Linked DNA regions of Bombyx mori. The protein of the gene in region 2 interacts with the protein of the main gene of each other region in a biochemical or structural test. Links are inferred from orthologs where the notes say so. Each region holds a gene or a part of one and is shown on either strand. Other genes may lie near its edges.

Region 1 (3,281 bases), on a different chromosome or scaffold from region 2:
TAAGGTTCTTGATCTCGTCTGTGTGTTGCAGACTTATCGAATATATTTGAATCGTTTCTGCCGCAACTGCTCACCTACCCGAACCCGATCGACCCGCTGAACGGTGACGCGGCCGCCATGTACCTGCACAAGCCCGAGGAGTACAAGAAAAAAGTCTGTGGTGAGTTTCCTTACGACAGGAACAACTATAATATGGTCATATAGATCGGGACCACACTGCAGGGTGATGGCCAAGTCTTCATAAATCTTAATATCCACTTTTAACGTCACAGATGTGTCTTATCTCTTATCCAACACTCGGTCATAGCATCTGATAAGTGTAATAATATCTTGCTCGTTTTTATTTGAGAAAACAGTTTTCCTATTTCTGCCGCGATATTTGAAGGGTGAGATAGCAATTACTCACGCTGTCGTCTGGGATCTGACAATCGCTTAACACAAGCGAACCTACCCATGTTAAATATATAGGAGATCATCGTCTCCATCACTGCTGAGCAAAGAATGAACCTAAGTCGTCTAAATGTCCACATTGCATCACTTTAAAGTGGGTGGCGCATTTACGTTGTAGGTGTCTATGGGCTCCAGTAACCACTTAACACCAGTGTGCTTAGTGCGAGTTTTTTAACGTTCTGGATAGCGTAATAGTTAACCCTATTTTATATGCAGTTGGAACAGCGCCCCTAACGGCAAACGTAGGCAAACGATTCCATTCCATACAAATATGAGTTAACTTTTACGCTATCGAGAACGTTAAAAAACTCGCACTAAGCACACAGGCGGGCCATAGCTCGCCCACTCACCTAAGTAATTAAAACAAGGGTGCGTGTACTTGTGTACGCGCGTAAAAAGTTATACTATTTTTATTAAATTTATTTCTTTTTTTTTTAATATTAAATAATTAATAATAAATATTTAACGTTAATAATTTAATAATATTTAGTATGAATTATATTAAATAATAATTTTGTCATTTATATTACTAAAAAATGAATGCTAATAACACTTTTTTTACGAGTGTACATGCGCGAAAGTTCACCTGCGACTATATTCAGACTCGCCAAGTTACGTCGGTCGTATTGTAATGAGCGATTTAGTGAGCAACTTCATTTCTGTTAAATTTGTGTCACGGTGCGCGCGCATCGTAAAATTTCACTCTCATCAATTTTTCATAACGCGCCTAAAGTATAACTTCAAAAAAAAACCTCAACCGAAAACTTTCGGGTTCGCAGACTACGTTCGTAAGTTCGCCACAGAAGAAGCGTTGCTAGAGAAAGACGCGATAACAGGGGTCGGGGCCAGCGCCAACAAGGCGAGCAACGGCAACGACTCGGACTCGGAGTCCTCGATGAGCGACTTCAGCGAAGACGAGGCGCACGACATGGAGTTATAACACAGACTGGCCCGGACCGCAGCCCGCGCGAGGCCGCTCACCGCCACCGCTCTGTGAACGCGTACGAGAACAATAAAAACGTTCGTTGATTCGAATTCGAATTGTAACGGTTTTAGTTTTCGAATTTCGAACCCGGAAGTCGCACTTTTTGAAAGTATCGTTGAACAACCGTATCCGTTTTGGCTTGTTTCGTTTTGTATTCGAACGACAAGAGATTGAATATAATTGTTTCTTAAACTATTGAGATATTAAAACTATATATAATTGGTGTATTCAATTTTCAGTGGTCTATTAATTTTTTTCGTATCAAAATTCGTTTTGTTTCACTCTAATGTACTTACTCAATGTATTAATCCAATTACAATTTAAAATAATAATACTACATGACACCAAACAAAACACTAAAGCACTATAGTGAGATTAATGTTGTATCTGTATTTGAATAATAAAAATCGCTGCTACAGATAATATTAAGATAATGGGGTTGCCAATAAAAATATTTTTCCACACGCAGAGAGACAGCTTCAAAAAATATATATATTGTAAAAAATAATTAAGGATTCGATCGTTTTATGTAGAAAAGTTCAAAGTCACTCTCTTCTACGACTAAAGAAAAATTTATATTCATAGCGTTAATTCGGAAACGTAATTGTAATGAAATTGAACGTACATTGTTTTCTAAAATGAAAACGCCTACCGTGTTCACAAGTGCTCACAATTAGCAGTTGGCGGCTGAGTTTAGTGCTGCTCTGTAGTATAGGTACCCATAACAAGCGTCAGGGCTCCCATCAGGAAAACGTACTCGCACAGTTCCGCGTTGAACCATAAACTTGTTGCTTTATAAATGAAGGGCTGTAAATATCCTGGTAAAATTAATACCGACCGAAACGCGTTCGCAGGTGAGTTTGGTCACACAATGAATCTTGATAGGCAAATACGAACTTAATACTGAAGTACGTCTGCCGCGGACAGCTGTCAACATGAAGTCAACACAAAACCACTACGGCCTTTTAATCCTAAAAGGTACGTAAACTTTTGCCAGATCATCAGAAATATATAAATATATATTTTTTGGTTGGTTCTTTTCGGCATAACGCGGTCGGTGTGTAGCGATGTTCTTGTATTTTTATGGAATTGTAAAAACGGTAAACGGACCCTAGGATTGTTGGTGATTCGTCCTTAATAAACGAGGCTCGTGATGAAGCACGGCCAAGAGACCGGTCACGAGGTATGGTCCCGGGTGCTAACGACCAGAAAAGGGTGGCTCTTCTCCAGATACATCTTCCCCGTCATTCATGGTAGTGTCTTTACTGTCTTTTTTGTTGTACATTTATACTTTACCCGCATGGAATACACTGTACTTTAAGTGGCTCCAGCACTGGGTAAAAAGTGACTTGTGTTAACGCCCAATATTCAAACTATTTCCATCCCGATTATCGTTGTTTTTTTGTTGTATTTTTATACTTTACCATATCATTAAATAAATAGGTACCTGCCTGCAGGTCTGCCATAATCGTGTCACTGGACCAGAGCACCGGCTGTCTTTTTCATTAGGCCACTAGCCCTGTCTCATCTGCGATCCGGTCATAGGTCTCTGAACGCTTGGGGTTATTAGTCGATAGAGCTTCGATATAATTCGATATTTCGACTAAAAAAAATAAAATAAGAGTAATCAATTTAGAACGCCTCTTTTTTTTCGAATTTATGGACATGTTAAGTGTCGGTTAGCACTTTGGGAAGGTGCGAGTCTGTACCGTGTTTCGTTACGAGCGAGTAGAATACGCTTTAAGGTTAGAAGCAATACGACAGTCGAAGTGTTCACGTTAAATCAGAGAATCTTATTGTAAAATGGAGAAATTGTAATATTAGATATTTAGGATTTTAAAGGTTT
Region 2 (2,511 bases):
GCTAAGCAGGGCGGGGTATCATTCCCCTACAACCTTTTACTTCATAGTAACAGGAAAACATTTTGGAAGGGTTTTCATTCTAAAATTTGTCTGTGCATGTTAACTGATATTAGGAAACATTGAATGAGAGAAGGCGTAGTACTTTAATATAGTCGTTACTCTTGCATAGCTGTATTGAAGGGCAGTGATCAGGTTATTAGGTAGACAGTATGTTTACTACGAGTAATAAAAAATATGTTATATACACTTACTCGCACACTCTCAATAGCATCCAAAGGCTGAGTACCAGGCAATTTAAGACAGCGGTCCAAGAAATTCGGGTCCTGCAAGTATTGGGCAGCATGCTCAGCAGCCTGACGGAATAAACCTTCGAATTCATCGCGAGCCCATTGTAGTGTGTGTTCAATGGCATTCGGGAAGTTCTTGAGCGTACAAATAGGAATACTCTTCTCGGGAGGGTCCTGGGATGAGCTGTAAGATTCCGTAAGGAATGGAACAACCACCTAAAACGTAAATTACTGATGTATTAATGTTATTTCTTTTGATATGATTATATCTTGCTTAATATTTTCTTTACTTATATATTATGAAATATTATTGATTTATGTTTAAAAGATTGTGAAGATTCAGATATCAGTATCAAAACAACTTTTTTTTAATTTACCAAGTTTGAATAGTTAATGATACTTAAAAATCTTTGTGTTTCCAGTATAAGTACTAGACAACGTTAAATCAATTCATAACTATTATTTTCTCTTAGGGTTCTAATTTATATTTGATCATTAACCAATTAATTTTATTCAACGTTTCATGTTATTTCAAATTGTATCTCAAATGCTTTTGATTTTACTAACCTGTGTATTTCCTTTAGTTCCAAGAGTGCCACTCTCCAATAAAGGTTTTCTATAATACACACACCGTCTGTCCATGTATATACGGGCGTCGACATTGTCGAGTGCATTGGCTACACCATCCAATGCTTCAAAGAATGCATCATTGTAGACGGACTCGGTCTCAGGGCAAACTCTGTTTTCTTGTGCCAAAACATTTACTGCTGGATTCATGCGTTTAATTACCTATGACAAAAAAAATATATTAAAAGTATTTGAGTATTACAGTATATATTTATAGTTACTGGTGGTAGAACCTCTTGTGTCTCCGCACGCGTAGGTACCAACACCCTGCCTATTTCTGCCGTGAAGCAGTAATGCGTTTCGGTTTGAAGGGTGGGGCAGCCGTTGTAACTATACTAAGAACTTAGAACTTATATGTCAAGGTGGGTGGTGCATTTACGTTGTAGATGTCTATGAGCTCCAGTAACCACTTAACACCAGGTGGGCTGCGAGCTCGTCCACACATATAAGCAATAAAGTAAAAAAAATATATATTGTGTAATATCTGAAACCAACTAGGGAAACATTAAAACTTAGGCGAGCAAAAACATTTATACATTGAATTTGAAACTAAACTGAAATTCACTGGTTCAGGGAGTAATCTCGAAGCAAACCCTGTGTAGATGGCTACTCTTGTGCTCTCTATAGCAGTACACAAGTGATCTCAAATGTCATTACGAATCCAGCAACTTACATTAGCTGCAGTACTAGATTTCGGTTTCTGTACATCATAAGGCCTAAACAAGAACTGCCTGTTGAGGTTAGACTTCTCAATGAGGTCCATATCCGTGACTGTAATTTGTCCTCCATCAGCACCCACACCAATCATGGCAAAGTTCTTTAATAATTCACATCCGATAGCACCAGCACCTGAAGAGATAAACTTCATATGATACTATACTAATATTTTGTGTAGCTTCATACAGATAGTTCATATTGACTATTATTCATTAGTAAATTACCAATCTTGAGTTTACAGAATTATTTATGTTCCATATATGTAAGAGAGCACACAGGTTCCATAAAGTTGAGTGTGAAACCCTTTTTTTTTTTTTTTTTTCCTGGCCGAGGGCCGAACCTCCTACGAGGTCCCCGCGCCTAGGGGGCGCGCGGGGTATGTGAGACTCAACGATCTGCAGGTGTTGAGAGCAGACCGCGGGCCCACCCACTAAACGACTCCCCTGCACTCTTACACCTGGCGTCCGATCTCCGTCTGGGGTCAAAACCCGGTCAGAGTAGGGGGGTTCCCGCGGTCAACACTACAACCAGACACGCGGCGCCACCCCGAGGACGCCCGACCGACGGGTCGTCGAGGCGATAGTCGACGACCAACGACGTCAGTCTTACTTTTTACTTTTAATTACTTATTACTTTATGTTGCAATTTCCCAAACAGCATAACATATTTACAGAATAACTGATGCTAGAAAATTTTGTCAAGTTCCAAGGGATGGTAACAATATTTGTTTGCAGATTAAAAATACAGTGTGTGATATAAATTAAGACTAGAATAGATATCAGTTGACCATGGGAGCCTTTCACTCCAGAATAGTCTTGCACATAAGGAGAATGACAATAATTATCATTCTCCTCACGTGTCAATCAATCAATCCTTTTAA

The links. The genes of interacting proteins can lie anywhere in the genome.
Region 1: of the proteins of ubiquitin-like modifier-activating enzyme 1 (region 2) and ubiquitin-conjugating enzyme E2 H, one has a biochemical effect on the other in vitro, tested with the Homo sapiens proteins (3 studies listed by BioGRID, with this or other methods). The link is inferred for Bombyx mori from reciprocal best matches to the Homo sapiens genes UBA1 and UBE2H.

Annotation. Positions count from the first base shown.
Region 1 is NC_085133.1:418,426-421,706, forward strand, and holds part of ubiquitin-conjugating enzyme E2 H, read left to right. Parts: intron 1-31; coding exon 32-160; intron 161-1,229; coding exon 1,230-1,390; 3' UTR 1,391-3,281. UniProt on the Homo sapiens protein: Accepts ubiquitin from the E1 complex and catalyzes its covalent attachment to other proteins. E2 ubiquitin conjugating enzyme that transfers ubiquitin to MAEA, a core component of the CTLH E3 ubiquitin-protein ligase complex.
Region 2 is NC_085114.1:15,610,872-15,613,382, reverse strand, and holds part of ubiquitin-like modifier-activating enzyme 1, read right to left. Parts: intron 1,764-2,511; coding exon 1,588-1,763; intron 1,077-1,587; coding exon 855-1,076; intron 504-854; coding exon 252-503; intron 1-251. UniProt on the Homo sapiens protein: Catalyzes the first step in ubiquitin conjugation to mark cellular proteins for degradation through the ubiquitin-proteasome system.